Lepisosteus oculatus: one gene and its partner. The protein of the gene in region 1 interacts with the protein of each later gene in a pairwise test. Links are inferred from orthologs where the notes say so. Each region holds a gene or a part of one and is shown on either strand. Other genes may lie near its edges. The genes, in order: cep126 and hmox2b.

What was found.
Region 2: the proteins of cep126 (region 1) and hmox2b interact in a two-hybrid assay, tested with the Homo sapiens proteins (2 studies listed by BioGRID and IntAct). The link is inferred for Lepisosteus oculatus from reciprocal best matches to the Homo sapiens genes CEP126 and HMOX2.

What each region holds. Positions count from the first base shown.
Region 1 is NC_090700.1:8,335,805-8,352,791, reverse strand, and holds the start of cep126 (centrosomal protein of 126 kDa), read right to left. Parts: upstream 6,708-16,987; 5' UTR 6,357-6,707; coding exon 6,328-6,356; exon of another isoform or gene 6,324-6,327; intron 5,211-6,323; coding exon 5,091-5,210; intron 2,630-5,090; coding exon 2,484-2,629; intron 1,894-2,483; coding exon 1,782-1,893; intron 1,099-1,781; coding exon 900-1,098; intron 1-899. Other genes in the region: angptl5 (angiopoietin-related protein 5), read left to right, coding at 8,046-8,120, 9,509-9,686, 9,826-9,929, 10,589-10,682, 11,268-11,368, 12,040-12,160, 12,688-12,873, 13,261-13,580. UniProt on the Homo sapiens protein: Participates in cytokinesis. Necessary for microtubules and mitotic spindle organization. Involved in primary cilium formation.
Region 2 is NC_090714.1:3,702,547-3,719,613, forward strand, and holds the start of hmox2b (heme oxygenase 2), read left to right. Parts: upstream 1-10,476; 5' UTR 10,477-10,669; intron 10,670-13,623; 5' UTR 13,624-13,669; coding exon 13,670-13,767; intron 13,768-17,067. Other genes in the region: cfap70 (cilia- and flagella-associated protein 70), read left to right, coding at 148-279, 631-756, 2,927-3,060, 3,579-3,694, 4,013-4,225, 4,989-5,167, 5,711-5,863, 6,278-6,439 and 4 more.

The DNA of each region.
Region 1 (16,987 bases):
AATAAGTATCAATGTCAAACTGATCTGGCATTTACAATCAGTGCCTCTCAGTATTGAACTGTTTTAACTACTAGAATGCGCTGTTTCAACGTTCCCAAGGACATGTAATAAAGAGGTGACATTAACCGAGTAAGCATAGTTTCAACACTCATTTCCCATTTTCTTCATCCAGTGTCCAAAAAGATCAGCACTTTTTATTTTCATTACTCTGCATGCAATACAGCAACCTATAAGGTTGTTTCTTTGAGAAGATACCTGTTAAATAAGGTTTACTTGCACCTTTGATGTTTCTAGTGGTGGAAATAAAAGCATAACACACAAAAATGTATTTCTACAAGTTCTGCTTAGCACCTTCTTCAGTTCAAATTCAAAAGTGAACGAAGTGGGGCCCAGCCAGGGGGAGAAGTGGTGTTTAGTTTGTTTTCTTTACGAATGACAGTAAGCTGGCACCCTTCACTGAGTAAGACATAAATGTATCCTTGAAGAAATACAGCACTGGCTCAAAGAAACATGTCAGCTTTGGGCAACATAGATTTTAGAAATGTTTACTACAGAAAAGAAGCCAATTAGCTAGTGTGTAATGTACATAATCTGCTATTTATTTAAGTGACATTAAATCAAAGGCTAAAAGTCAGTTTAAATAAACATCAGAGTAAAAACTACAAAAAGATACACAGGATCCCGCATCTTGTGATTGTGATAATTCATGCTGTACACACCCACACAAACTTTCCACAGTCTGAAGTTATTATTTGATGTAAAGAGTGGTTAAAAACCTTGGTGGTAACACTGTTTTTTAAAATAAAGGGGCTCTCCACTCAAACTCGGGTATTTCATTACTGACACAGGGGATAGTGTGTGACAGAAAGACCAGGATATGTTTGTGTGAGAAGTCCTACCTGCAGGCTATTCATCTTTCTCTCCTCCAGAAGGCGCTGTGTCTCCAGAAGTTCATTCTGAAAGAGCATCTGGCTGCTCTTGAGATTAGTGCCACTCTTCTCCTGCATCAATTTGGCATAGGCTACTGCGGCAGACAACTGCTTCTGGTAATGAGAGGCAGTGGAACTTGCTGAAGAACTTGGAGAGGATGTGTAGGTCCTGTAGAAACAGTGTTATATTAGGAGGTCTGCTTTTGCACACCTGTCGTGTTATAGTTAAACAATATTAGCTATAAATGTGACTCAAGGACATACCAAAAATATCTGCAGTTTTGGAAATGTGAAAGCATTGTTTGATTTTGACCATCTAAAATAAAATCATCCTGTCTTAAATAGCTTCATCTGCCTTGAAAGAATAAGGTATAACAAATTACTCCTCATGAAACAAGTGAAAGTGGCTATTAAAATTTATTTGAAGTGGGTGGTAAAACTTCACAAGAGCAAAGCTTTTGCTTCCTTAACTCTTTAGGAAGAAAAATTCAATAAAAGACTCAAAGAAATTGTGAAAACCTCTAAATTCAACAGTGCCATCTGTTGGCTCCTGTTTGTCTTTTAATAGAATAATTTACAATCCATCTTGTGGACACTAACTATAACTGCAATTCCCAATTTACTGATGTGAATATATTATGATTATCATGAAATTATCATTTTACTGTATCATAATTACAATAAGGCTTCCATTAAAAAAAACCACAGTCTTACAAATTTGGAATGTATTCAAATAACAAATATACTTGGAAAAATAAACAGCGCACGTCCAAAGTTTTACATTTTGGGGGGGCTTTAAGTGCTTGTGTACAATTAGCTATCCAAAAACTAAACTGTGGCAGCTTTTTATACCTGTTGCTGATAGGGCTTCTGGAGTAGAGTGAAGAATTGAGGGCTGAAGAACTGAAAGAGGGTTGAATTTGATTCAAAGCTTCTTCTAATCGAGGGGTTGGATTTCTGTAAACTAAAAAAAGAAAAAAAAACTTCTGCCTTAAAAAACTTCACGTGCAAAGTAAAGTATTTTATTTTCTTACATTTCTTAACTGTTCAAGGAGCATTTCACATAAGAATATCCCTCGTTGGACTGCAATCTTCCAGAACTGGATTTGTTCCTCTCCAGAGTTTTACAAGTGCATTTATACTTGCAGGAAAAATACCTCCAGAGATTTGAACATGTTTAAAACAATGTTTTTTTTCCATAATAGCGTAAGATCCTGGAGAGCTTGACAGCAATTCTCTTGTCAGCTAAGGATGAAAAGCATTCTCAGTTGGGCACTAACAGTTGGTAAAAAGACAAATTGATGGCAAAATGCTCCAGTGTGAGAAGAACGTCCCAGTGGCACAAATCAGAGAACCACTTAATACTGAAGAAGTGACAATGGTTTCAATACTAGCAATACGGCCCTAGCTAAAATCCTGTTCTGTACTGTGGCAATACAGACACTCTATTTTGATAACATCAGAAATGAGCAAGTGCTGTATTCAGTATGGTTAGCTCCAAACAGTGTGGACATTTAAGTAATTTAATTGCAGATCAGGTCTATGTTTTCCCACCTTGTCTATTTCTTTGTGAGGGGGGGAGATGAGCTCTCTGAAACCTCTCGGTTGCCTCCTGCACTTTCTGTTTGCGCTGCTGGAGTATGTCCTCCCTCAGTTTCTGCTCCCTGATGTCCTCTTCCCTGCGTTTCTCCTCCAGAGCTCTGCAGAAAAATGGAAAAGGTATATACTGTCATCAAGGTACAATTAACAAGCAGGACAAGAAGAAATTAGTGAAACCAAGGAGAAACTGAACTACTTACAATGAGAATACATGAAATAATTATGTTAATTAAATTAAAACAATCATGCAAATTCAATAAATTAACATTCTGAGGTACAGAATGCTAATTTTGCTTAAGAAAGATCTTCAAACTAATCTTAAACTTCAGTACAGTCTACCTTAGTACAAACATAATCATTTAATCTTACATTCTAAGGGGCAAAATTACTTATCATACCTGAATCTTGTCTTGTTCTTAAAATGCAAAAACTTTTCCGCATCCTCATTAATTATTCAAACTCATTACTCATAGCCACGTTTTAGAAGCCAGACACAGGACAGGTTCTTTGAACATACAGGTGATAGAAAGGCTGATCAAATACGGTTCAAAAGTATTCAGCCTGGATGGATAATCTTTAGAAGCTTTGTTCAAGCGATTAAAATAACTAATAAAAGTTTCTTATACTAAAAATGTATCGATCCCAACTGCCTTATTGAAAACAGCAACACAAACAAATTGGTAATACATAATTGGATATAAAATAAATAACATAATACTATTTAAATGGTCGTCACTGTGTTGACTATCAGTTTTAACATTTCAACTATATATTCTGTACAGTACCATTAAGATATTACAGAATAATCTGGGTTAGAGACTTGTAACAAAAATTATAAATTGGGATGGAAATGTATTTAGATCGCTGTATTGTAATGAAATATTATGACTATTGCTTCTTTCAACACAATATTGAGATTAAAAAATAAAAGACCATATTTGTTTTGGTGACAAATGCAACTCAGTAGATGAACTCCAGCTGTTAAGTGTCTATGACACCAGAGATCCTACTGTATATTAATACAGGATCTTTGCAGTATACTGTATCAAGGCTGATGTAAATAATAGTTTTTTTTCTAATTACAAATAAACTTAAATTTCTAACCTGACAGCATTCTAACAAAGACAAAGAGGTTAAAGCGATGTCCAAGTTCAGTACAGAATGAAAGTAAATACTAAACTGCAACTACGACAAAGATAGCAATTTGAATCTATTCTTAGAAGCTGCACAAAAATACTTCATACATGTCTTCTGAAAGTAATCAGTTTGTAGTATTTAGTCTACTATCATTACATACAGAACATTTTTTTTTCTACTGAACCTTTTATTTTAATCTCTTTCCAGGAGCTGCTAAGATGCTGAGATTTAGTAGGTTATTAATTGTCTGAGATTTGTGCTTTACCTTGGGATGAACTCATTTTAAGCAGAACACTTCAGTCTAGCCAATCTAATCTTGCCTCTTATAAATTGCATTACCGTTACCAATTAAGAAATCTAATTTCAGCAGACGAAATCCTGCTGGCAAGTGAAGTATTGAATAACAGGATCTCTCTTTTTTCCTTCAAACCATTTTCACTGACTGCTACAACTGTTCTGCATAGGAAAACTACACCATCAGCTGGATTGGTGGCAATGTACAGCCTCATAATTTAACATTATGGGATTGGTGCGAAAACATACTTTTTTCTTATATGTTTATGTGATATTAATGCTTATCTTTAGTGCTATAATAAAAAAACTAACAATTCCAGTGCTTCCTGCAAACACATTAAATGTGATTGTCAATTTCTGTTCAAGTTGCCTCTTTTCTGTTAACAGATGTTTTTTAGTACAACTTTACAAAAAGTTTTCTACATGCTGTATGCTGAAAAACAATGAAAACAGTCATGTGACTTCGGAAAAATGCCACGTACTCAGTATTTGATACCTGAATTGGATTAATTGCCAAAATAAAGTGATTAAGAATAAGTATCAATAGCCCTTCAGAAAGTAATTAACAAAAATGCTTCAATTAATGCAAAGAAGGTGAAAGATACAGCCGCGTCTTGTTTGAATAATGAGGACTGCTGGCTGATGTTGGCATCGCTGTCCATGAAAGGACTTGTTAATGTGTACAGTAGCCAGCTTTTTCTCCTGATCTGAGTCCCACAGAACACTTGTGGGAATTATTCACCCACACCATCAATAGAAAAAAACACAACTGGCCAACCTTCACCATCTGGCTGCATGTGGTGCAACATCCCATGCACAGTCTATTCACAACTTTCAGGTCAACACTGCCAAGATTGTCTGAATGCTTAGGGAGGTCAAATACAATACTAACTTTGTAATGTCTTCATTTTGACAGTATGTTTAATAGTGAAATGGTCTCATGATTGATCAGCTCTGTATGTAGTGCACAGTTTTTGAGTTCTTGTTATGATATATATTTTATTTAATCCAGTAGATCATAGTGATGCATTTCTTTTCTGTATGAGTATAAATTATATATTTTTGTGGATACTGCAACTGAATTTAACCTCTTAAAATACAAGAAAAAACAACATACAGTACCAAACATACCTCCTACGTCGATTGGTTTCCAAGGAGAATTTTCGAGCACGAGCTCTGCATGCCTTCTGTTCCTCAACCAGAACCTGACGGTCATCTTTCAACGGCCGTTCTAGCTCTGTTTTTATATTTCTAACGTCAGACAACGTTAAGGAATTTCAGGACATGGGGGTAAAAAGGAGATTTTGCCTTCACCAGTTGCGCAGTAGTCCAGAAGCACATGCACATTAAAATATAGGCCTGTCAAAGAAGGGTCTAGCATAAAAGTTAAAAATAAAAACCCACAAAGAGCCAGCCTTTAATGAGCTGAAAAGGGAAGCTTTTGTGTTAATAGTACACTACCAGTGGTCCATCTTTATTTACCACAAGGAAAACAATAGTCTGCAATACCTAGTTTCTAAAACATTTGTTGGATTACTGCAATTTCAGAAAGTTTCCAATCTGAATTAAGTACTAGGGGGGGAAAAAAGGAAAATTGTAAGGTCATTACATTAAATTAATTATGAAAAAACTGAAGATAAGAATCCATCCATGCTATCAAGTGACTGAAAACCATTCACAAAGCTGGGGAAAGGCTTTTCTTCTTGCTTGTTTGTTGTGCTATGATTGCCAAGTGCAGCGGTCACACAAATTATGCCACTCCCTTTTTACAGTGCAGTATGGTGGTCGCTATAATGGCAAAGGAGGTAACGGAGCAGACAAATGTAAGACACTTTGAAAAGCAGCAATACTGTATACAGGTATATATATCTAAACATTTTTTCCTTGTTTTGTAACTTAATTGTAGTTGCTATACCTCTTACCTCTAAATGATCTCTGTCAGCCAAAGGCCAAAATACTCAGATCAGATTGCAAAGTGATATGACTTTGACAGATACACATAGACTCATACACACACGCATATATACACTGGCATCAATAGCGGGTGAAGATACTCATAAGGAAAAATACAAATAAATTAGCTAGCTAGTCCAAAATGAGGAAAAAAAGTGTAATACAGTAAGTGAATATTCTGTGATGACTGTCTATCAAATTTGAAGCACACTGCCTGAAAATATTTGGTCTTTTAATGAATGACTATACAGTACCTACACCAATAGTAATTGAAGGTGGTTAACAACAACAACAACAACAACAACAACAACAACAACAACAACGTCATAAAAAACATTTCTAGAACTAGGATCTTGAGGTAGCTTCTAGCAAAAGAAATAGACTTATAACTAAACAGACATCGATTTAAGGATACGAATAGGAGCTGGCCCTCTGGACGTGCATCCTGAATCCCAGGATGGGACGACGTTGAAGAGTTCTCCAAACTGGTCACAATCTTCATTCAAACCAAGTTCAGCGATCGTACACGTATTTTAAGAAACGGATTATCCCCAGCCTGTATTCCGAAATGCGCTAGCCGGCTGTCCTCCGCTTCACGCCAAAATAAACCCACAGTTTGTGTGTGAACGAAAACGTTGAAACTGCGGCGCGATGTGCCATTGTAGTCAAGCGCTCGTTATGATCTTCTGTTGCTTCTCATTTTTTTTCTTATTTCCGAATTCAGCGTTGACAATTTGACTGGGTTTTCCAGCTAAGTAAAAGTTTTGCTCTGCTGAACCTCTAGATTAATTAGCCCCGCCATGTTGACAACCAGAGACGCCGCTTCCTTGACAACGGAAACTAGGCGCAGGTTGAGAGTGGGGCCGAGAAAAGGAGGAAACGACGGACGGCAGGAGAAGTCCGGCAGATTATAGCTGTTATCGCAATTATAATTCCTATAATAATTATTTATTCTTATAAATAATTATTTATGTTTACCTATCCTACTACTACTTTATTATAACTGCAATAAACATGGACACAATTTGTCGATTTTACACACTTGATGATGATCAGCGTACTCTTGTGTTTTAGGGTTAGGGTACAAAAAAACTAAGGCATAGACTTGCTTGATCAAATAATTTAACTGACATTTTAATTCAGAGCTCCTCCCAAAGAATAACAATTTATGTTTTGCATTTGGGCAAATGTGTGCTACTGTTCTGAATTTCTGATGTCAGCTAATATTTCATGTCTTTTCAATAATTACGATCTTTTTCTGATTTCAAAATTATTCTAAAATCCCTTCCAAGGCACAATATTATGCCTTTTGCTTCACTGAGCCTGTTTGCCACTACTCAGTGAAACCTGTTATTCACTGTTGGGTGTGTGGTCTTCCAATAGGCTAACACTTCAGATTTGTAAATACTGTATGAAAACTTAAGTCAATAAACATACTAGTCTAGCAAACATATTTCTGTATGTTGCATATTGTACGTAATTCTTTGCAGATGCAGAGTACATAAAATCTCACTTTACAATGTGCTCCCCCTGGTTTTGTCTATAAAACCTGAAGGGCAAGGAATTTATGTGGAGCTCCAAGTGTGAACAGATGAACCATACTGCAAAATACTATGCACATTACAGACACAGAATTACATTCCATAAGCATCTTGTACATACCAGTAGTTGTAGGCAATCTTTCTTCAATACTGTGGAATTTATATACACTGTATTTTTTACTCTATTTTTAGGAAAATAACAGCAAACTTGTGCTGCTTTCTAAAGAAGCTGTTAAAGGGTTAAAGTTACATTTTGCAGAAATGTTATTGTTTGTTTCTTGGTAAATCTGAATTAAGAAACAGTGCTCAACATTTTTGTCTAGCATTTCGCTTTGTGATATGCCTGTGCAATACAAAACTAAACAGTGCTAAAAGAACACAGCAGTGCACAATATTTAAATTGATTTGACACAGTCCCAAATCATATCCTGTCCTGAACGCTTTCAGCAGTTGAGAGAAAGTCATTTGTTTTGGCTCTTTGCTGTTGTGCAGATGCCAGCAGAGCGTCTTGAGTTCCTGAAGCTGTGGTACCGAGGGCTCATGAGACTCAGTAAACCGACCAGCACATTAGAAAACGTCTTCCTAAAGGAAAATGAAAAGGCTTTTCTTCCCAGTTTTGTTTGTATCTGTTCTCCATGACATCCAGACAACATCGACCAACTCTGTGGTATGTATTTTTGTTAGATATCTTAAAATTGCTATTATTTCCTGTACGGAAAAAAAAAAACTGAACCAGAGCACTTGAATTTAGTTCTAAATTGAATTTCGGAGTTGTATGTGCAGTATTAAAGTGTGTTTTAAAGTTTGCATTTCTTAAAAAACACAAGATGCATGGAACTGTTTGGTAACATAGATGAGCTACATACATACATATATGCATCCACTGTACATGTTTAAGGAGACATCTGTGCTGTAAAATATTTTCAATCCCTTTTTACTTTTTTTCATTCTTCAAGACGTACAGTATGAGTGAATAGAAGGGACAGATTCACATTCACACTTAGGGTTGCTTCTAATGATTTAAGCGTTAATTAAATGCACTCCTAACAGAAAGCAACCTTTGAAGTTTCATTGGATTTTTGTACATAGAGAAACAGGAAACAGCTTGCATGTCTCTGTTCAACATTTGATAATTAATTCCAACCTTAACAAACTTCAAATTCTCCTGGAGTAAAGAGGAGAAACATAACAGTTGTTCTTGGTATGTCAGCCCAGTCTGTAGTCTAATGCATCTATAATTGTTAGATATTTGTGATCTGTTAGATTTAAAATTAGGAAGAATTTGCCACAGTATTAACTATGATCATTTATATGCAAAACACATTGGGAAATTCTAATGCAATGTCACCATTAAGAATCTACCTAAATACTGAAGCTAATCTCCTGAGAAGAAATTGATTGTTTCTGCTTCCAATGTGCCATGCTAATGGGTTTTCCCCATTCAAGTATTGAGGTCTTGTGGTTTATGGGGTATATTCTTTAAAACAAAATAAAAAAAAATGTCAGTATGATGTTGTGGGTGACATACAGAGATTAGTTATCCTTGTTTGCTATTTGAGGAATGAGATATTCAGTTCTATAATAAAAAGATAAACACAAACTAGGGGATACAAGAAAATGCATTCCTGCCTGGGTCCTGGCAAAAACGTATTCTTGGCCAGCAGGCAAAAAGTACAAATATAAAACAGTGTTTCCAGAGACATATTTAAAGATACAGCTCACATGAGGAACTAAGTAAAGCTGAAAAAAATATTAAATCCACTTATGCACTGGCTAAAAAAATAAATAGTCTACCTTCTGATATTTTATTAATGTCTTAGTAACAAAATGAAAAGAAATAAAATGAAAAATGTGTTTCATCAGTTCATTATTTTTGGAGGTACATAAGATTTAGCTAATCAAAAACATAAGAAAAAGAGTTCACTTGTTTACATTTTAGATTAGCGGGTAACTATAGAACTTTATAAAACGCATTGGTTCAGATGACTTAACATAAGCCTATGTGATCCCGATCAGTTTGGCATGATTGAAAATGTTTTCTTTGTCTGCTAAAAGGAAATCAGTGAAAGCAGTTCAGCTATAAATCAGTCTACAACGGCGAAGGGAAAATACCATGGTGAAAACATGAAACCCAGACTCTCCAAGCCATCAAGAGAAAACAGGCATGAGACCTGCCTTACGCAATGTGAAATGTCAGCAAAGCTCATGAAGGAGGAGAAACACCTGATGTGCAGTACGTACACTGAGGACTGTGGACTTGACTTTCTGTTTTTAAAAGTAAAGTGTACACGGAATGGGTTTGGCTTATATCCACGACCCGTATACCCTGAATTGATACCACAAATTAATGCAGTTTTATCTATCTTTTTAAGGAAACTTACACCATTCTCTTGTTTCCTACACGAGGAGCACAAGGAAAATGATTAGAGGCATGATGGAGGATCACCAGAAATCACTGGAGTTTCTTTCAAGCCAGGCAAGCTATAGCAATGTACATTTTCTTGCATGAGATGTGTGGCAGTTAGGAATGGATAACAGCCTCAAAAGAATCCAAACACAGTTGGACTATTTTCGTGGAAATGTAATGACTTTTGCCGTTTCAGAAGGTACTAGTGACATATGAGAGTGTTTTTTGAGCTTTTCTAGTTCTAAAACGAAAACTAATTTTTAAACAGAAAGCAAAATGTTGACATTTTTATTCAGAGCATTCTTACCTTTTGTATTTAGAGCTCTAGGAGGAGGAGGAACATGATTCCCTAAAGACTAAGAGAGCATTTAATTCCTTTATACCTAAAACATTATTCAATTGTGGAATAGTGTTTTCTGGTAGGGATCTTCTTCTTGTTTTATGTTCATTATGTTTATTTATTGTTTTTTTGGGGGGAAAAAACAAGTCTCTACAAGTTAATTGCCTATTATTTTCATCTTATGGTAGGAGAAGAGTTCTGATTGAGCGATGTTGTTAAATGTTGTTTTGCATTATGGCATTGTACTGTTGTTGTTATTGTATAATCATTATAAACATGTAAAGTGTTTATGAGTTCTTGATATGCCCGAGAGGAATTTCCTTAGGGGCAATAAAGATTAAATTAATCAGTTTTATATACACCTTGAACTTTGCTTTTATTTTCACAGGTAAGGGAACTGATGAACAAAGTTCTGACACTCAGTACAGAAGTCTTAAAGAACAACATTGAGCCATTTCCACATAAGCCAGTACAATCACATGGTAAGGTCATACATTTACCTCTCTCATGTTAAAGCCTATTTTTTTGTCTTTTCTACACTGGTCACTGATGTATAAAGCCAAATCATTGCCAAAGCTCTTGACTATGAGTGTAACTACGACTCCTAAACTGGTACCAGAAGGTATTTGTATTTGTGTTGGAATATTGATATAATTGTTGTGAGCTATGGAACTGTGTATGTTATTATTGTGTAAACTGGCTTTCCCAAGAGACTCACGTGGGGCCTCCAGCCATAAATGTATATACTGTATGTATAAATGATATACTTACTGTATCTATCTGTATATACTACATTTCAAGAAGATGACTGTAACGATCTTTTATGAGAAATTATCCCTAAAGGGATAATTTGTGTAGTGTTTTTGTTAATTAAATTATAAACTTAAATAGAGAATAAATAGTGAATATAATAAATATATGGTATGAGAGGCAAATCTAAATGTTATTAAAGTGGAAAACAAAGTTAAATGATTGGTTGATATTTTTTGTCCCACAGGTGGAAACATCTTTCTGTGTCATTTACAGTCTGATTCTGCTAATATTTTCATGTTGATTACTGTTTCTAGGGCGTGATTGCAGTGATATTATAGACACAGTACAGTCCATTTCCAAAACTCCAAGTGGTATTTACATAATCCAGCCAGAAGGACTTGACTATCCATTTGAGGTAACAAATAAACTATGTTGAAACACACAAAATGACAAAACAGACAAAAACAACAAAAATGTATTGGTTTATTGGTTACAAATTCATTTGAGCCATCTAGCCCATTTAAGCTGTTAGTAGTTAAATGATCCAATTATCTCATCCAGTTGTTTCTTGAAAGAAGCCAGGGTATCGGCTTCAATAGCACGGCTGGGAAGTTTGTTCTATAATCCCTCAATCCTTTGGGTAATGAAGTGCCTTCCATTCTTAGTTTTAAATGCACTTCCAGGTTATTTACATGTGACATAAATTATTTTAATCTATTTTCTATTTAAAAGTTAGAGCCCTAAGTTAACAATTATCTAACAAGTTAGCTCTTAAATGAGTAGTTGGACGCATTTCTACCCGTTTCTGTTTTCTTAAGAATATTTGGATACATAAGATTTGCTTTTGTACAGCCTCAGCCATCTCACAATGATTCAGCTTATCACAGCAGCCCACCTTGTACAGAACAACAGGCTGTATCATTCTTACTGAAGTCAAAATCAGACCTGATACTTCTGTCTCAATAACCAGTGATGGTTCTTTAAAACTGTTCATTCAATTTTAGGCAGGCCTGTCAAACATCTGGTTTTAAATATTAGGTGTTTGGAAGAAAACTAAAAATAACTAAAGCTGTTTTTTAACTGCAGGTGTTCTGTGAAATGGATTATATGGGTGGTGGATGGACTGTAATTCAGAGGAGATCAGATGGCCTCATTGACTTCAAAAGAGAATGGTCAGAGTATATGGATGGATTTGGCCACCTACCTGGTAAAACATAATAACTAAAGTGACAGTAGTCATAGCATGCTGTAGAATAAGATTACATAAATTACATTTAAACCGTCATGCTCTTTACACCTAGAGGGCGCACTACTTCTGTCCAGTTCTTAGTTCCCTGTCATTATTCAGGTGTGTAGCGCATTTACTTCCTGTATCTGCTCTGCTCCTGGCTCAGCACTGAGGGTACGGATCTCCTGAGACCCACCTAGCAGCAGGTCGCTCCTGTCCATGGACTGAGGGCATTGGTTTCTTTCTGGCATTGTCTGACCCCCTGAACCTGGGCTAACCCCTGTGTTGCCCCTTTTACCGATATGCATAGGGTCTCTACTGCTCTCCTTTTCACTCCACGGCATGCCCTTCCGACATTCGTGACATAAACATAGCAATGTACAGATTCATTTTCCGAACTGAAGCCTGCAGATCAGGCTGAAAGAATCCATGACAAAATAGCTATATTGAAAAAACGTGCTAATGTTACAGGAAACTAGCTAGAAGGTGACCGTGTCTCTGTGTAGGAGAGCACTGGCTGGGCCTTCGCAAGGTCTACCACATCGTGAACCAAAAGAACACAAACTTCCAGCTGCACGTGGCCCTCGTCTCCGATGACGACACTTCCTCCTACGCCTCGTATGACAACTTCTGGATAGAAGACGAAACCAGGTTTTTCAAGATCCACCTGGGCCGATATGCAGGGAGTGCAGGTGAGGGGAACGCTGTTCTTTCCTCACGATTTGCACATTTTCTTTTTCTTTATTGCTGAATATACTGTATCGCAACGGGGGTTCAGGCAGGCGTCCTTGCCGCATTAGGTCGGCCCCCCACCGTCGGGGGCTCGGACCCGGGACTCCCGCGTCACTCAGCAGGGACACAGCCCGGTGAGCCAAAGAGAGATCTCTCCACAGCCCAGGGGCTGTGGTCCTGCTATCACAGGGAAGGGCGGCGACGTCACCGCTCTGGTAAGCCGGCTCTTACACACCCTGATGGCCGTGTGCGTTACAATACTATAGAAGTTGCTTTATTTTTCTTTAGTTGTGTTATCTCATCCCGAATACAATCCACAAGACTGTTGTCATTTTTTTCCCCCCCAGGAGATGCGTTTCGAGGATACCGCCAGGAGGAGAACCAGAACTCGATGCCGTTCAGCACGTCGGATGTTGACAACGACAGCTGCCGTCCCTTCTGCGTCTTTGATGGCCAAGCCGTGGAGAGCTGCAGTGCCAGAAACAACGGTACAGGCTGGTGGTTTAACCAGTGTGGAATGGCCAATCTCAACGGCGGTGCTCCGGATATGGAGCGTGCCATGCAGCCCCATATCCACTGGGACACATGGACTCTCAATGGAGTCCCAGTCAACATCAAATCTGTAACCATGAAGATTAAGAGAGTCTACAGTCCCTTCTTCAAATAATTCTGAGTTACGGTCAGCTGCTGACTTGATTGCAATCCCAAAGGGAAATCAATAAACAAATAAAAATAATCTTCCTCAAGGTGGCCGGTTTCTGTTTAATGGCAAAGTTAAAGCTAAAGAAAAAAACGTTTTAGCCTATGACAGGGTTTGAAAATACAGTATGATAGCAGTACTAGGAACTGTCTTTGTATTTTGGGATTTTTTTCTCATCAGGTGAAATTACAGGGTCTATGATGTTCTGGTTTTTAGACCAGACTTTTAAAACAGCGGTATCTTTGAAGTTTGGTCATATGGCAGGATATTCCAAAGGTGAGGAAGTAAGATTCCTTTCTGCTAGAACAGTGGGCTAGAGAGAGCTGATGACAAATACTAAAAATGAACACGTATTTTATTAAATTAAAAATCAATTAATGCAGTTATATTTGACTAATATATGTTCTGTTTTCTTTCACGTTTGCTCTTTTGCTCTTGAGTGCTATGAAATTTAATACCAGATGCACAGTCTGTAATAGGGAGGGGTTGTAGTCATAGTTGAAAGCACCACTTTCCTCTGATCACAATGCCTGACGTGGCAGAATGAATGTGGGGAGCATATGGAAGCGTTTAAACTTTTCTTTGGCTCCAGGTCCCCTTTCATTTCTGAGTTCACAGGGGGATCATCAAGTCAAGGGGACTACTGGGAAGGAGGCCGTCAGATCTGATACCCTTATTGCAAGTCTGGGTTGCTATCCCTTAATTCGATAAAGTCTATTATCTCTCTCTCCCCATTAAAGTCGTCATATTAAAAAAAAAAACTAAAATGAAAATTATAATCTTTAAGTTCATATGGAAAGTACGACGTCATTAGTATTAAAATATGGAATAGTTTCTTAGCCTGATGTAATTTCCAAATGCCCTGGTGAATTCATCAGTGGCTCTTGGCGTTGATCATACTGTATTCCTGAGAAAGGGACTTTTAAAGTAGCCGTCAATATGAATTTTTGTATTGAAATTTAGTTGTAATTTATTTTGAGAACCTAAGATATGATGTAGCTTGGAGCATTCGAGATTTTTAGTTAGAATTTTCTTGCTGAAGACTTTGAGGAATTAAGCATGCTTTTTCATTTGAAAAAAACAGCAGCAAAATAGGTTACTAAGACTAATAATGTGCACCCAGAAAATTCAAGTTGCATTTACCCCCGTGTTTCTTTTTAAATTTGCTTACGGGTCCAGTTTATCTGTTAAAGGTCGTGTCCATGTGCTAAGTTAACAAAGTTAATCTGAACACTTGAGAAAAAGTGTGACTGGAAAGCTTTTTCTAAAATGAAGTTTGGAAAGGGGGAAGGTCAGTGTAAGTACAGTAAATGTTTACCCGCTCACATTTTTACATAATTTAATTACCTTGAAAACAGAAAACAATTACAAATTACCTACAGTCCAGTGTATACGGTATTAAAACAGCTCCACACTACCTTTTGTATCCATGAAAAGGGATATACAGTAAACTGGCAAGGCAAAAGTGCTGCAATTTCTTTTTAAGTCTGCAGGGGGCGTAGCACCACAGTAGTTTCTGAAATACTCATTGAAAGCTGGATTGTTCGTTATAAGATTTTATTTCAATGGAACAGGTAGATGACTTCCAACACTACATCGTTAATCAACATTGACTATTTTTAAATCTTATGATTATTGTATCCCAAAACAATTACTTTGTAGTATTTTGCAAAATGTTAAGGTTCACTTTGACATTTGAGAACATTGTGTAAAATGTTAAATAAACATTTATTTGCTTTCTGCAACAATAATTTGACATCTATACCCTACTACTGATTTAGAACCCATTTTAATTAAACTAAATATACAGGAGGTTGGCATTGGAGTGCATTGGGAAGCCTGGTTACTTCACAGCGCCAGTATCTTTAGGTTCAAAGCTGGCTCTGTGTGGAGTCTGCACTATGGCATTTGAAACTATTGTTTTCCAATAACCTATGACAATTTTTCAAGATGATCTGTGTGAGATCCCAGACTTAAATGATAAATCAATGCTTGCTGTAATAGCCACAATACAATTTGCAGCTCTTAAATGCACAAGTAATGGGTACCAGTAATGGTAAAAAATCCATTAGGCTTCTACAGAATAGCTTGGAATGTTCCATTGTGTTATTTTGTATCACATATTTTTATTCATTTAAGATGGGCATTCTTTCAGTGGCCTCAACATGTTACCAAATTTACTGAGCAATTTGCGAATATATATATATTGAATACACTGTTTGTCTGTTTTGCTGGAAGAAACGTGCTGCTTTCCCCATAAACATTTCTCATGAGGTTGAGTGCTGAATATAATATTAGATAATCCATCACTTTTTTTCCTCTCTAGTTGTCTATCTGCAGAATATGTGGCAAAATAAACACCCATCTCAGAGTTAGTAATGAGAGACCTTTCGTTCTGGTGTCATGCTGGTAATGTGGGCGAATCATTGTTCCTTCTGATAGGCATTGTTAGAATAATTAATGTACTTCACACAACGGTATAATTTTGCAGATGCTCATAGCTTGTAAGCACCAGAGAAATGACCCCAGTCCACACCAGTCCTATATTTACACATATTTACACAAATTAGAATCTTCATTTCTTTATCTATTGTAAATGTAAAAGTACAACATGGACTTGTGGCGGCTGTTTGTTTTTTAAAGCTGGAAAGCTCAGCAGCACACGTGCTCTTGTAAGACTAAACACAGAACAGTTACTGCAGAGGGATTAAATATAATTGCACTGATCCATGTAAGAATGACTAAGCAAGTCAAATTGCAGTGTTTGCAAGACAATTTAAACAAAATTAACAGTTAACCAAAACCAGGGGAGTCATGGGAAGAAACTAACATGTGCAGGATGTCGAACTGACAAGCTGGTAGCACGCCAGGGGCAAATCAAATAAGAAAATTTAAAAAATAATCACAAACTGAGGTGTATCATGTTTACAGTTCAGTTAAGGTTAAAGTGAGTAAAGGGGGAAATAAACACTCCTTAACACGTACAAATAAAAATGAAGTTTACATCACACAAGCTGAAAAGAAGAGGTCCAATAAACAAAAGAGACACACACAAAGTAAGCCCTACAAGTAACAACTAATATCTCTCACGTCAGTAAGCCACTTACACAATCTTAGAAATGACACCGTTAATTTGTAATGATAGATGACATTTCACAGATGAATTTTGATCTTGTATTTGAAAAATAAAAAAGGCGCAGAAAATATGGCTTGTAGGGTAGCAACATCATAATGGACTGAAACTGGAGCAATTTTAGCTCTGACAGCTCTCCCTGAAGAAAGGAAATTACAAGATGGTTTGCACAGAAAATGGAGATTTAACTTGATTTGCTCATTGTTTACATGACTGTGTAATGCCTGCTCATTATAACTGG
Region 2 (17,067 bases), on another chromosome or scaffold:
TCTTCTTCGGTGGCTGTGTAAAAAGTTAAATGACTCCTGTCCTTCAGCCTGATTGCGATCGCTGCTTCGGGCTCCACCGTGGTAAAGATCCAGTAGTGTGGAAGTGTAGGCCGTCACTGTCCTGTGTGGTTCTGTGTGTGTGGGCAGTACTCGGTGGTGAGGATTGTCAGGGAGAAGATGCTGCGGACAGAAGGCTTCTCTGACCGGGAGCAGCACCAGGCCTTCCTCAGCCAGCTCTACGTGTTCCTGGTGGACGAGATGCACGTTGCCCTCAACAAGGTGAGGGGCAGGGATGGTGGGACACTTCTTGCAGCCCAGATGCCTGTAATTGCGGACAAGCACACGGGTTTTATTTGTGGACATGTTTGCACTCACTCAGACAGCGCGAGCCAGAGCAGAACTTTGTACTACAAATATGTTGCAAGAGCAGTGCTGCTCAGCATTTATTTCTCGATTATTTATTTCCCTAAACTATTGTATATTTTGCACCACTGGTTGAGAAAACTAATGAGGAAAGTAAGAATTAAGTAATGGTTCTAGCGAAAGAGCTATATATACAATATATTTGTTCTGTGTGAATGCGGTCAGTCGTAATTAAAACGATTCTTATTTCTCTCCATCTCTCTGCAGACCCTATCAGTGGATGTCCAGGAGTCTGAACCACAGCCTCTCCTAGACTGTCCTCAGCTAAAACACTTTGCCATGGAGGCACAGATAAACCAGGACTACCAGCTTGCTGCCCAGTACTACCAGGAAGTATGGACATAGGAATATATACAGTACTTCTTGCAGAATATACAGCATATTTCATCACAGAGAATTTAACCAAGACTTTTACAAACTATGACAAAGAACAATAGGGTTTCTGATCATCAAGTAGCTAGAACATTGGTTTAATGTCTCATACAAAGTTCAGCACCTTCTTCGATCACAGTACACTATGTCACCATAGGTCACCTACTGGTTCATCAGCAGCACTGATGTCCCTCTGGTGTCTCTCAACCCTGTACAGATCATGCTTAGACTTGCTTAGCTTCTGAGATCTGATCGGAAAAGACTACAAGGAGGTAATGTGTTGCTTATGCTCCGCTAAGGAGCACATCTGAAAGAAAACACAAATCTTCCGCAGTCCAGTGCAACTCCTGGATGTGCCAACCCATTACAGTATTTGAAACCATTGGAGAGTCCACCACCCAGTAGAACTGTGTTCAAACTTTATCATTTTACAACACACTGTGCATGTTATGGTCTCAGAATGAAAGTTTTCAACAGGTTATATACAAGTAAAGTTACATTTCTTATGTATATAAGAGGATGAGATGTATTTAGTAGTTTTCCAGCTTTTCTGACTAATGCTTTGATACACAGGAACACTTGTTCTTGCTGTCTGGCTTTCCTACAGTTCTCCTTTATTTAGTCGTTCATTTGCACCACTGAGTGTGATGTAACACTCTGACTGCTCTACCTTACTGAAGAGAAAGTCTTTGGGAAGGCGTTTCCCAGATTCTGGATTCTGTGGTACTTGAGTCTCGACACGCAGTTCTAGGACAGCATGCTCAAGATGTGGTGCTCTCTGTCTGACACTTTTGCTGAACCTTTGCTTGAACATTTTAAACACATCACACATTAGACAAATGCAGGGCATTAAAGAGAAGCTCACACAAAATGATAAATAATAAATTAGAGGAATAGGTACTAATTAAATATAACATGCATCTGTGACAGGCTGACACATGTTTTACACGAGCACAATGATATATAGCTGTACTTCTCTCTGTAGCACAACCTACACAAATGAACGCAACGAAGTGTGAGTGATAGGTATGTCAGTCTCCACCTAGCCCTGCAAAGCAGATTTTTTGGCTCCAGCTACATCTACTGTGAAAGGGTGTAATTCCTGGGAACCACTACTGAAAAGGAGTGGCCTGGGGCTCAATAGTACAGTCACACCAGTTACTGTATATAGCACACCTCTCAGTTTGCCTCAAAAGCATTCGGTCACAAGACACTCCCAGAATATATGTGAGGAGATACCTGTGGCATCCTCAGTGCATCTCTGACAGAGAGGTCAGTCTCATCTAGAAGTGTCCGAATAGTGTTACATAGTGTACACGTCGTGGTCAAATTGAAAAGAGATTAGTTGGTGTGGTTAATTTTTAAGGAGAAAGTATTGTCTCAGACTACATCCCAGAAGAGATAACCGACCTGTTTGTCTTGGTCTGACTCCAAAGTAAATTGGACTGGGAGGAGACTGATTTTAGCTGGAAACTAAAAGCCATTTTTTGGATTTTTGATTCGGCTAGCAGGTTTCATTAAGACTTTGCCTATGACTTGCTAAGGAACTATTTCTGAAAAGAACAGCATACTGTATGTTACAAAATGTTCTTCATGAAAAGGAATGAGATGACGCCGGTAACAGTCTGACTATGAATTCTTCCAAATTTGAACATGTCATTCCGATGCAAAGAAAATTAAGTTCCAAATTACTTGCAGTCAAACCCGGAAATGCATTTGCAGGAGGAAGTTTTGTTCAGCCTAGCAAGTTACCAGGGACCGTGGAGGAGAAAGAGCATAAGGGAATTATTCATGATGACACCTCACAGTTCATAGAAGTGAAAAACGAAGAATGCAGGGATATTATGAACTACTGTGGAGGATGTTTAGCATATTTTACCATAGAACATATCAGTCAAACTTCTACAGCCTACAACACATTACAAAAATGCAAATATGAAATGTACTTAGGAGAAGGTTTCCTCCCACCTCCAAAGACATGCTGACGTTTTGATTGACTATTTAGAATACTCGCTTTCCCCACTGCCCTGGGACAGGCTGTCAGGGTGAAAACAGGGTGGTAAGAATCCCTGTGCTTCCAGAGGCTTCTTTGCTCCTGAAAGCTCCGATCAGTTGTGTTTTTATTTTGTAGAGGCTGGCCCGGGACCGCAGTAACCCTGCTCACTGGTTTGACTATGGAGCGTTCTTAATGCTCACCTCAGACTATTCCAAGGCAGAAGAGTGCTTCCACCAGGCAGTGGCCTTAGATCAGAGACACCTGCCAAGGTGAGTGCCGAATGCTCACCAGCCCTTATTGTTCTGCTCTCAGTGCATTGCTCTTCTTGTGTCTCTGGTGTGAATTTTAATTTCCAATTTCCATTCTGCATTCGCAAAATCTGCAAAAGAAATCCAATATTTTCAATTGGTTTATTAACTTTGCATAACTTTAGTAATTGATTTGTGAATGGTTTGCATCCAGTGAAGCAATGCAGAAGATGTTGCCATAACTTTTGAACTCAGAAAGACTGAGCCAGCTGCTTGCTTATCCTTTTTGGGTAGGATGCTATGGCCATTTAAGGGCATGTTTTCCTACACAGCCCAAAATGGGTAATGCTTCACGCTTATTGTATCTACTTACACAAGACTGATAACTCATGTCCAAGTAAGACATTAGAATTACTCTGAAATCTTTCACTCATGAGAAAAAAATTGCACTGCTGATGGTGCAATCTTAAGGTACTTCAGCGAACTCACATGCTTCGATCTTTTTGAGAGTTCATACTGGCTGCTTGCTCTGTGTGTAGCCTCCTGCTGTGTGGGATCCTGGCAGAGATGGGAGGGAGGCATGAAGACACAGAGACCTTCTTTGAAGACGCCACCTGTGTGGACCCCTCCAGTGTGATCGCCTGGACTCTGTTTGGTAAATTGGGTTCCTTCATGGGCAGTCATTTTCGGTGTCTCTGTTATAGGTTATGCTTCACTTTTTTGAATCTCCTTGGCTTCCTGGGGTGAAAAAAGAGAAAATAAAACGTGCATACAAAGATACTGAAATTCTGTTTTGCTGAAATGGTATGTTTAATGTGGGGGCTAACTAAACATTAAGCTCTAGCACTGTAATGTCCTTTATCCCTCTTGGTTGATTTCTAGACACAGGCTGTGCGATTGGTAAGATCTAAATCGAGAAGCAGGGCCATATCAGCTTAAAAAGTACAGCCATTTTACCTTTGGGTTGTTTCAGGGCTGTTCTACGAAGGGCAAGAAAATGCAATACAGGCAGAGATGGCCTTTCTGGAAGCCAATAAACAGCTGAAGGCAGCGTCGCAGGTGACTGTGATCTGTGCACCCCAGGCTGAAGATGAACAGGGCACTGAGCGGTCAGAGGGGGCTCCTGCACAGGAGGCCCAGGAACCTGCAGAGATTGAATCGGACATCCAGAGACAGGAGGAAAGAGGTGAGAAGACAGCACCCAAACTGACCACATGTATATATACAGTATATACATGTGCAGTGTATGTACGTATACAGTATATGTACATGTATATGTAAATGTAAGATGTTGTCAAGATGCTACACTGCACTATAAAGCTTTGTTCACAAGGTTTATAAGAGAAAATTATTTTTTGCTCAAATTAATTGGAATTTATTTGAACTGGAATATCACAATTGTATAGACAGCTTTGTCCTTTATTTAAACTTTGTACTTTAAAGTCAGACGAAGTAGAAGATGGAAAAAATAAAGCCATGGGCTGAAAGAGATCTTGAATGCTAGATAGCACCAGATCAATAGAAAATGGTGAATATGTTCTCTAATGCATTTATAGTGGTTAGATATTTACAAATGTTATTAATTTGCCTCAGTAACATTAATTAGCCTAAATTTTCCATTTTATGTGACCATTGAAGTGATTAATACAAAAACAACAGTATGCATTTTAATTAGTTTAACTGCAAAAAAAATACAATACATAACAATTTCGGTAAGTAGTATGTGAAACAGTGAATATCATATATCCACAAGCCAAAAACATCAGTAATGAAACTGTCTTCCTTTTTAGTAATCCTGAAAAGAACAATCTTCCTTCTACTCTTTCAGGCAACAGATGGTAATCGTGTGGCTAGATCTGTTCCTGAGAACAGAGCTCCTGTGATCTGAAATGTGATCTGCGTGAAGTAGGCACGCTCTGGGTCAGTATGTACCTTTGCTTGTCCTGCAGGTGCCGAGGCAGAAACGGAGAGCGTGGCTGCTGTCTCTGAGCACAGTCAGGGGGATGGAGCTGCAGTGCCAGAGCCTGACCTGCCTGTGTCCAAGCCCCCAGAAAGCAGTAGCCTCAGACCTACCACCACTATCTTCATGGAGACTGTACACTTCCTCCTGCAGACCAACGCCCTTCAGGTTAGGACATCTTCCAGATTCACATGACCATTGTCTCAGTGCAGTCATCCTTGATGCATTATGCTCTTTCTAAAGATCCTCTGATGTCTGATCACCATGTGTAATTCTATATATTAGTAATTTCATCATATTGCAGCTAGGGTGTTGTATGGGCTGTTGTGTGCTGTAAAGATGCTACTATAACATATACTCTTTGTTTCACTGGATGTTGCAAAGAATATTTACAGGGAGGATGATTTACATTTGTTTGCATTGATCAACACTACCCATGGATGCAGAAAAATGCGCAAGCAAAGTCTGATCTGTAGACTAATGATGCAATGGAGACCAAAGCAATGATCTTTGAAACTATAGTTCCCATAAGATACTTGCATAAGTATTGAGTTCTTGTTGAGTGAGACTTAATAAAACGAAAATGAATCATGAAAAAAGCACATTTCAGAATTTCACACAAGCAATGAGATTGAAAAGATTGAAAGACCAAGTATGTTCAATGGGTGGTGGCTGGACCTTAGTTTTCCGCCCTGTCTGGCTGTGTTGTAGATGGCTCAACGCGCGCTGGCTCAGGAGCTGCTGTGTCCGGACGGAGGGCCCAGCAGTTCCTATCATGTCGCCCTGGCCAGACTTCACCTCCAGAGAGGGGAGTTTGATGACGCTGATAAGAATCTACAGGAGGCACTACAGGACAGCTTTGAGGTAACAGCACAGCTACAGCCTTTACCACACTTTGTTTTAATGGTTTGACATCTACTGACTGTGCTACTCTGTTACAGTCTTGTGATAACCTTCAGTTTAGTTCTTGGACCAAGTCAGTTCATTCTGAAATACAGTAATATCTCTAGTATTCTATTATCTACAGCATCATTTTCTTGACATTTTTAGAGTCTAGAACTAGAAACCTGAAAACTAGAAAAAGCACCGTCCTTTGGATGAAACATAACACCGAGGTCCTGCCTCTCTGTGGTTGACTTGTGTGGCAGAGCACTTTGAGTAGAGATGAGCAGTGGGCAGTCAAATCTGGGAACGAAACCCCTGTTGGTTTTCAGAAACGCCAAGAAGCTGGAGAAAGCCGTCAGAAATGCACAGCTTTGTGAAACTTTGCCTTTGCAGAACCCAGATGTGTGGGCTCTTTCCGGACACCTTCATTACCTGACGGGGAAGTTCAGCAAGGCTCGGCAATGTTATGAGAGAACCCTGGACTTTGTGACAGACGCCACTGATATTCATCCCATCTACCTCAGGCTTGGCACCATCTACCTGCAGGAAAAGCAGGTCGGTCTTTAAGTACTGCAGGATCCTGTTGCACTGTAGGTGCTGTCGGCTTTCATTCCTCAACGACTCAGAAGTGAAAAGCAACACTCATTGTGTTTTTTCCAATGAAATGTATTGTGCGGTTAAATTTGTTATTCTCAGTTAAATTGGATAGATTTAGTGAATACAATCAAAAACATTTCCTCCATTGTATTTTCTCTTCAGATAGTTGAACAAAAGAACTATCCACAGAAAGCACAGCTTTATAGTTATTCCGTATTGTTGAAGCCGATGGCATGGCATCTAACAAGAAATGGCTGAATAACATCCTTGGATCTGTTAACTACTAGATACTAAAAGGGCTAGATCAGTGAGAAGGCCTGATCTCTTTTTTAACTCTTCTTAAATCACCTTCAAACATTGACCTTTATTATGAGTGATATTATAATGGAAGCATGATTGGAACATGCCTTACCGTTTTCTGTTTTTATACTTTGTTCTGTTGTCTTTCTTATGTCAACACTTTATAACATCGATAGAGTGTCTTGGATGAGAAGGTTGATTCGATAGAGCTCTCCACTGATCGTTTCGTGTGTCTCGCCCCCTCCCAGTTTGAGCAGGCCAAGCGCATCTACCTGAGGGCCTGCAGAGACTCCCCCTCCTGCCTGACCTGGCTGGGGCTTGGTATCGCCTGCTACAGGGTAACTACACCACAGAAAAATGAGCACCCCTATTATAGGGCACCATAGATACGTTTGCTTGCAATAAATTGGCCTGACCTTGCGTTCTGCTGGTTGCATTAACGTACTGCTATGGAGTGGATTATAAGGACCGCGTGTTTCGTACAAGTTTTTGGTCTTGTGAGATTTGTGAGAAGTTTTGTGCCTTGAAAGAATTTCTCCAACATGTTTTTTTATTCCTTTTGGTGTTGCGCAAGAAATCCAGATGACTGCAGTACATTAGCGTATAGTGCTCACTGAGCTTCAGAACATTCCCTCCTTGCAGTTGGAGCTAAATATGCTGAAATAGTTCAATTGCATAGTGCATCATGTCAAAATGGAAAATGAGACTTGAAGGTCATGCATAAAACATATTAAAGTATGTGCATTCTGAACTCAGCCCTAGGCTTCTCAGCCTTATGGCATGTTCCGAGGGATGTCTGGAGAGGATTGTTCATTGGTTGCTCAAAAACACAGGTCTAGTGTCAAGCAAAAGTGATCAAAGTAATATCAAGACATGATACGTTGTAAGATTCCACTTGTGCGACTGCCATTCTCACAACTAACTATATGTGGTTTCAGCTGGAGGAGCTGACGGAGGCAGAAGATGCTCTTACAGAAGCCAACACCCTGCATAATGCCAACCCTGAAGTGTGGGGCTACCTGTCCCTTGTCTGTCTGAAGGTGAGTTTGCTGTGGACATGTATGAGCCCAAGATCTTTCCCTCCATTTTCTAACTGCTTCTTACCAAGGTCCTCCAGGGAAGAGGGGGAGCCAGAGCCTGTCTTGGCAAGTGGGCACAAAGTAGGGTACGCCCTGGACATTACACCCGTCCGTCGCAGGGCGCACATACAGGACAGTAGATACACACACTCACACCAGGTCCAGTCTTCCCAGACAACAGTCAACCTACCAGTATGTCCATGGGCTGTGGGAGAAACCCACAGAAACCTGGGGAGAACATACAGACTCCACACAGACAGCACCCTGGGTCCGGAATTGAACCCAGTCAGATAAATGTTCCCTTGCAAAATCCTAAGCACAGAATTGCCTATGTGGATTAATAAATTGTATATTCCACCCTATGTCCCTTACAAATGTAGGATTGTGAGATTCTGAGCTACGAAGAATTGTACCACACATAAAACTGTTTTAGAGAATACTTAGTGCTCTATCAGTCAGTTTTACAGGTGTTTTATTAGTTTAATATTTTAAACTCAGTCACTCTCAATTATACAATCAATGATACCCATGTATAGTCCTGAATCACTCACAAGGAAGTGTTTGATGTAGTACATTTTTGTTTTTAACGGATAATCATAAATAAATACAAACAATAATTTGAATCAGCAATCTTTACCACTGTGCCACCATGCTGCTCATGTCTTATAATTATATTTTTAATATGATGTTGCACATGGGGAAATCCACATTAATGTAATGTACACAACACATCATGCTTCTATTTTAAAAGGATCATAAAAAGACTAAGAATTTAGCCGTGAAAATGTTTACGTTTTTGATTTTAAGTTTCTGAAAACTGAGTAAACAGTTTTTTCTGAACACCGAGTAAAAAACATTATCAGAAGGCTTTTTATCATTTTTAAGTCACTGGTGTTAAACATTGGCAAGATGTTTAAACTTGTTAAGCTTGTTGCCAGGTGAGTAAATAAGTGGCCAGTCAGTTACCTTACTCTTGCCAACAAGAATACGTTGACTATTTGATAATCCTTCAAAACAGAGGCGATGTTGTGCTTTACGATCAGTAGCAGCCCAAATGTGATAATTTGCACAAAATAAAGGCTTTGTTCTTTATGATGTACAGCATTGCTGTGTACATGAAAGGCCATCCAGAGGCTGAACTGTTTTATTTGTTTCAAACTCTGCTTGTCTGAGTCTGCCTCTAAATATAAGCGATGATACAGAATAATAAGGGGAAAGAGTGTGGCTCCTCCACATAAATTGGGTTCCCTTCTATATGGATAAAGTGTTTTGGGGTCATTTTGGGTGAAAAGTGCTACATAACGCTCTAAAAATGATTAACACAAATAGGTCATTTAAAATACAAACACTTCAGATGCAAGTTTCAGCATTTTAACTGTCGGTTGAAAAAAAACTGATTGATGTGTACTAAATACCAGATTTTTTTTTGCGTTTTGCAGACTGGCAGACATCTGGAAGCAGAGCAGTCCTACAAATACACCATAAAGGTCAGATTTGAACAGGGGCTAAACAGTTGTGAGAGACTTGGCCCTTTAGCAAGCGGCTCAAGTGATCTGAACACATGACAAGCTCACATGCATGAGGTATTAGTGCAGCGACTATGTATTTCTTTCCAACAAGGAGGCTCTGTAGCAGCTTCTCAAACTGCAACAACAATCCAACTACCAACTAACACTATGAGGCTGTTTATATCTCCATAATATTAGCTTTTTGTGATAAGGCTTCGCAGCTATTTAGGGTGTTTCCTGCATTTCCTTTTCTCAAATAGTCTTGCATTCTTACACATGAGAAAACGTCCATGGCTCTGCGCCACAGTGACCAAAGTCTGATGCCACGCTTTCACTCTGCTCCACAGCTGAACCTGCGGAACGGAGCTCTTCTGCAGGAGATCCATGAGCTACAGGAGCGTGTTGGCTTTGGAAACCCCTCCTTCTGAACATGCTGAAGCAGATCAGGAAGATATTTACAGCAACTGTCTGGGATTATGTTCTGTGTTGTTAATACAGTGGTTAGTGAACAACTCCAGTCTTGGAGAACTCCAGTGCAGAAAGAGATCATCCAGGCGTCCTGTTACTGAGTTTTACATCTATGCATGGTCATAAACGACGATAAATGCAGTCTTTTTAAAATAAATATTATTTACAAGGTCTTTATTGTCTTCTTGTGACTTCTTCCCCCTCCAGCATATTCTATGCAGATAACAAAATGTATTCAGTCATCTTTTCTGACCTGGAACTGAAAGCATAACAAAAAAACATTTTAGAGTTTAGCAAGAGGCAAAGAACCACTGAACATCTTGGCTTCAGAACTGAACGAATTAAATAAAAACGTATTTAAAAGCATTACAAAACTTTTTTAAAAAATATTTACAGTAACAAAATGAAAACGGATACTATAACTCAAACTGAAAAAAAATATACGTGCAAAACAGAACGGCCACAGCACCACTCTATCACTTTCTTTGGCGACAAAGAAAAGTACCCCCACCAAAGAGAGAGAGAAAGAGATTTCTGCGATTGAGCAAATATTGACTGCGGAGGCTGAGAATATCCCATGGGCGGCGCTTGGAAAAGGAATCGCTTGATTGGCCAGCCAGCAGCTCGTGGTGCGGGGGCAGCGAGGTCATTTCCTGTTTGCGATGCGGGTCTGATAGAAGAAGGTCAGTTGGTGGGGGATGCTGGAAGTGTTTTTACGAGTTAATTGAAGACGTTGGAGGGCTGCTGAAGTCGCCGCACCAGAACGTACACACAGGGGTTTATAGTCCCTCGACGTGTACGCATACGCGTTCGTGGTGGGAAAGTAGAGGCAGGTGAGGTTTGCGGGTTGTAGTAACCGCAGTGCTTTCGCGTGTAACGAATGTCCGTTTCTTTACAGTTCGGGACCAGAGGAGGTTGCGCGTGGGTTACCACTCTCGAAGCTAAGTTACACCTTGAGAGAGGTCGGAATTAGTGTTGTCTTTAAATTCAGGTGTGTCCAGACCTGCCGCACATGACTGCCCTCCCCTCATAGCAAACGTGTGTTCTCGAAGTTTTCCCCGCATGTCCACCGGTTTTGTTGGCGTCGCTGTCGCCTGCGTGCGCTGGGAAAGTGTTGCGACCTGTACATCTGGGGAGCGTGTGAGTCTGCCGCAGCTGGCGAAGAAAGCCTGCTGTGTCCGGTGCTGCTTTGTTGTTGCAGTGCCCGAGTTAAGTTTCCCTTTCCTTGACAGTAATGGCGACCTGGTCATTTTGAAGCTGTTGTTAATCAGCTTTAGGTTCTAGCCCTGAGGGGTGGATGTAGCGATCTGAAGTCGCACTTTTTTTTTTTAAGCACGCTTGTTTCATGCCATGTTCAGTGTTTCATTGCTTATATGATCTCATTTTGAATGGGGGGGAAAAACAGCACTGAATTGTAGACGGGGCTTTCAGTGTAGCTCTGTAGAGTTAGGCTTTAATCTTGGTTTTAATTGGATTCTTCTGGGTTAAAGAGGCTGGATCCTTCTTTTATCTATACAGATATATGTATATATCTATACAGCCCTTCCCGAGAGACGCCTTTGCAGACTGACCTGTTGTTTACCAGGCAATAGCGTCTATAGGTTACTTTTACAGATGAAGTCGTCTCTGGGGGCACAGCACATGACTAGGATATTGATGAAGGGGTTTGTTGAGTAGTATAAACCTGATCATCGCCATGTGAAGATTTTATACAACGGGTGAAAGCCCCTGCCTTCATCACCTGTTTGAGAAACGGAGGTAGATTCATAGCGCACCAAAATCCCCCAAAGATACATTTTCCTTTTTTGGAGTTGTTGTGGTAATAAAGTGTTGTTGACAAAAACATCCTAAATTATGACTAGAGTTTATCCCAATATTTATTTTTGCTTGTTTATGCAAAATAGTCAAGTTAACACATTAAGGTTGTATTTTATTTGTTGTGGTTGGCAAGTGAGGGATCTTGACAGAGGAGAATGATGGTTTTGCTGTGCCCATGGACAGCTCTAAGGACACTTACTGTAATTGTTGTCATGAAACTTGGGAGCATGTTATTGCTGTTTACACTCTCTAACCTGTCTTTAGCCAGTGCACAATGGGGAGCTGAGCGCAAACAGCCTGAACTTTCCAGCCCCTGGTCCACGGTGCGGCTGTCTTTGTACCGTGTTATACTGCAGGAGTAGGGGGGTGGTTGGGTGGGCTCTGCTTTGTCTCTGCTTTGTCTCGGCAGGGTGGGGGGGGACCCCTGTCCTGTTGTCAAAAGAGTGACGTGCGCTGTCCCTGATCCGCCCCGCTGACTCAGCTAGCCCCCCAGTGTGAGGGGAGACACCCCAGGGGTGCCTGCTTGCCGGGATGGGCTCTGGCTCCCCTCTGACCCTGTACTGGATGAAGCTTTTAGACGATGGATGGATGTTGGCTCTAGTGTAACATTAGTGCCTTTTCTACAGGTCTTATTAAGACAAAATGAAGTTAATAATTGCTTACACGTATAAAGCACTTTTCTGGACACTCCACTCAAAGCGCTTTACAGGTAATGGGGATCCCCTCCACCACCACCAGTGTGCAGCCCCACCTGGATGATGTGACAGCAGCCACAGTGCTCCAGTACACTCGCCACAGAGCAGCTACCAGTGGGGAGGAGAAGAGATTGATGAATTTTTTCCATTGAAAGATCCTGAATTGAAAAGCAGGCTGTGGAATATGATTTACTTAGAGCACAAGTGGTAACTTTACTGTGACCATGTTACTACTACTGGAGTAGAGAGAGAAAAAATTCCCATGCCAAACAGTAGCACTAAAACGAAACTGTACCACTAAATTGGAAACCTGAATGATTCTTCATTCCAGAGAAATTGAGGTATTATTTTAAAAAATGTTCCCCCCCCTCTCGAACGCAGAATAACTGGTTCATCTAGTCTCAAACCGATTACAGTCATCTCCTTTGGATCTATCGTCTTGTTCATTTCAAGAAAGAAGGAAGCAGGTTTTATTTCTTTTTTAATGCCACATAATTCTCTTTCTTAGATATAGCTCTAATATTCACAATTTCCTTACGTGTCTAATGACGTTCAGTTACAATTTCCATGTACTCTATACTGCATATCTGTATACATATATCTGTATAAATTATGCTATTGTTTTTTTTTCGATTGGTTGTACATATTTGGTATTCTTAAGATTTCTTTTAAAACCATTAGGATAAAATTATTTGTGTAAACTTCCATGCAAGGCAATATAATAAACGAAGGATCTTTCCTGGAGGTAAAGTGTGTGATTTGTCATTGTCCATTCTTTCTATTCTATTTGACAGTAACTTTTTTATAAAATAAGGAAGCTGCACAGCTGGTTTCCATATGTTTTTAGCGTGGGAGCTATGTAACCCAGCGGAATGTGACCCTCAGTGTTAAAGTGGATTCTGGAGAAAAGCTCTGCTTCCTTGGAATAACTAGACAAGGTGTTTTTTATTCTGTTTTGTGCGGGTAGCCTGTTGGCTACCTGACTCTGATTGTGCAGAGCGTTATTGTAGTTTGAGTTTTGATAACTGTACTGTATAGGGTTATTATAGGAGAGTTTTCGAATTTGCTATTAGTAATGTACAAGAGGAACATTTAGTCCCGTTTTTTAAAATTCCAGCCCCACTATGCTTTTCTCCATCTATATTTTGTTTCTTCTGCGGTGACCTTGGTAAGGAAAGTGTGGATTAAGAGGTATGTATACAGTAGCTGATTGACATGCAGCGTTCCCCTCCATTGACACACTCTGCCTGACCTGCTGCTTGTTCTTTCTCCAGCAGAGCCCTGTGAAGAGACACACGACGCCTGCCACAACACAGAACAATGCCCACAGAGAAAGCAGAGGGCCCCGGGCAGATGGAGGACCTTCCCAATGGGTCGAGTGTGGCATATGAAGACCACGAGGAAGAAGAGAATGTCAGGTAAGGGGAACCGGCCTACAGCGTTCACACGCTAGTGCAGAAATATCCCACCATCAAAGAAGACTTCTCTTTAAATGTTTTTGCTGGATAGCTTGGGAGACATGTTTGAAATACTTTAGCACTGGTTGGTTTCGTATGTGATCTCTTCTTTCAAACTGGTATTTTTGGCCTGATTGGCAATTATTATTTTCCCCATGCATTTTAAATTAATTGGGAGTAAACTTCCAGGTCCTCAGATATGCTCCTCAGTTAATTCAATGTGCTGCAAACTCCACAATGCCCTAAAGGAGAGTTTGTGCCAATTGGAGGAGTGGCACATCTTTAGTAGATTATTGTACCTGGAGAGAAACTTACTCAGCTGAGAAGGGGAACTTGTTTAATACATGTGGCATTATAGAAGGTTTGTAAACTAGACAATGTTTTATGTGCTTAAAGACACATTTGTTCATTTTGCTAAAATGTCACTCTGCATTTCACTTAGGAAATGGATGCATGACCTAGGAAACATTTAACTAGTTAAGTGAACTTTATAATGGAAGGAGGACAAGATTTTTAAAGATTAGGAATTTTTTTAATTTAATGAGAAGTTAATACAATAATACAATAGACACTTTTTAGTTAGAGGATGGTCAGTGCTTAGCTCTCTTCAGGGGTGGCAGGCTTGAGGAATTTCGGGCAGGGAGGGGCTCCTGACTGATGTCCACCTCAATCTGGGGTGCGTATCTCTTGTGCCCCCCCGTGGTAACACTAATGAACTGCACTCGTCCATCGGGGTGCACTATCTCCTGTAAGCGGGGGCAGTGCAGGGCCTCCCACAGCCTCTGCTTGATGCGCCGGCCCAGCTCCAGGCTATATGGCTTGGGCCGCCCCTTGGAGTTCATCCTCATGGGCTCCACCACGGAGTGGTACACCTGGCGGTACTCCTCCACACTCAGCCCATGGATGAGCAGCGGCTCATCGCTCCTACAGGTGGTATGACTGGGGGAGCCGTGGCCGGCAGCCGAATCGGGAACGGGGGCGTTTCTCTTTGTCTCAAGAGTTTCTTTCGGCCCCGCTGTTACGTGCGGGTGTGTTGGCTTCGTCTGCAGCACTGCTTCCTTCAGTAGTCTGTTCTCCATCTGCGGACAGACAAAAGGGTTGAATTGAAAAGACATGCCACCCAAATCGCAGAACAACGCAGTGGCACAGTTAAAACCTTCAAGTAAATTCTCCAGAGTATTCAAGAATAAACCAAAGATTAGATGAGTAAGGTCAAGCAGCTGTGACAAACTATTAATATTTAAATAAAACCCTTGGACAGTAGTAACTTCTAAGGTATGTGATCCACTACAGTTTGCCTTTCCTGCTGGACTCTACCTCTGCCTGGACGATGGAGCCACATGAGTTGTAGGCAGTTGTCCAGTGAGTGCGGGAGATGGAGTCTCCAGCCTGATCCCGGGCTGCAGTGCGAAGGCAGTACCATGGGATTGCTGGCTGGCTCCTACACTCTCCATTTGTTCCAAAAGAGGTTCCACACTGGATGGGCACCCCTCTGTGCTGGAACATATCTGGGTCTTGAGGAGGGTCCAGGATCTTAGAAGAGGACCTGGAGGGACTGGCTGCAGATGGAGGAGGAGCACCAGTAGACTTTATCATCTTCAGTCTCATTTTGATGGCAGTGGGATTCTTGGGGTCACTGGGACACATGATTGATTCCCAGAGGACTTTATTGCCACCATTGGCTTTCTTTGAGTTGAAGACCTGGCTTTGGTGACGGCTCTCCACACAATAATCGCGCAGGCGGGTGTTTGGTAAAATGGTCCTGCGCAGGCTGTAGTATCCTGCAGCACTGCGCTGTTCTGATTTCTGAAAGTTAAAAAAAAAACATTAGGCACAGAGCAAAAATTCTGTTCATGTCGTGTAATACTTAAAGTATTTAATCTCTTATATACATATTTTGTCTATGGATGATATTGAAATCTACATAAGTACTTTAGGTGAAGGTAGATTGCACTGGAATGAAAATTATGAGTAGTGTTTAACTTACTTAAAATAATCTTACAAATGATTAGAAATTAAATTTACCACAAATGAGCTACATTTATAGGAGTACAATGAGATATGCTTACAATCTCCATTAGATCCAAAGATTTCCTTCCTTTTAGAAGTATGTTTCAGGAGAAAAATGTAAAAGCTGTTATCGATTGCTCTTTCGATTAGAAATGTTTTTTTATATTTGGAATAGTTGCTTACCTACAAACCAACATTCTATATCAATTATGATGTAGCATGTGACCTCATCTCAAAATTCTATGAGCTGTTTTAAATATAAACACCTGTTCAAGAGGCTTGGAATGGGTTATATGTTTATCCTGTTTTGTTAAAAACCATTTGAGATGGACCCATAGTCTTGTGTGGAGGGCCTTATAAAGCTAGGATCTCAGTTCTGAGTGCCAAGTCCTCTGGGAAGGAATCATGACTTAGGCTCCCCAGGAATCCGCAAAATGATTGTTTGAAAAGTTGCTTAGTAAATTGCTTAAATTTACCACAAATGAGCTACATTTATAGGAGTACAATAAGGTTTGCTTACAATCTCCATGAGATCCAGAGTTTTCCTTCCTTTTAGAAGTATGTTTCAGGAGAAAAATGTAAAAGCTGTTATCGATTGCTCTTTCGATTAGAAATGTTTTTTTATATTTGGAATAGTTGCTTACCTACAAACCAACATTCTATATCAATTATGATGTAGCATGTGACCTCATCTCAAAATTCTATGCGCTGTTTTAAATATAAACACCTGTTCAAGAGGCTTGGAATGGGTTATATGTTTATCCTGTTTTGTTAAAAACCATTTGAGATGGACCCATAGTCTTGTGTGGAGGGCCTTATAAAGCTAGGATCTCAGTTCTGAGTGCCAAGTCCTCTGGGAAGGAATCATGAATTAGGCTCCCCAGGAATCCGCAAAATGATTGTTTGAAAAGTTGCTTAGTAAATTGCTTAAATTTACCACAAATGAGCTACATTTATAGGAGTACAATAAGGTTTGCTTACAATCTCCATGAGATCCAGAGTTTTCCTTCCTTTTAGAAGTATGTTTCAGGAGAAAAATGTAAAAGCTGTTATCGATTGCTCTTTCGATTAGAAATGTTTTTTGATGTTTGGAATAGTTGCTTACCTACAAACCAACATTCTATATCAATAATGATGTAGCATGTGACCTCATCTCAAAATTCTATGAGCCGTTTTAAATATAAACACCTGTTCAAGAGGCTTGGAATGGGTTATATGTTTATCCTGTTTTGTTAAAAACCATTTGAGATT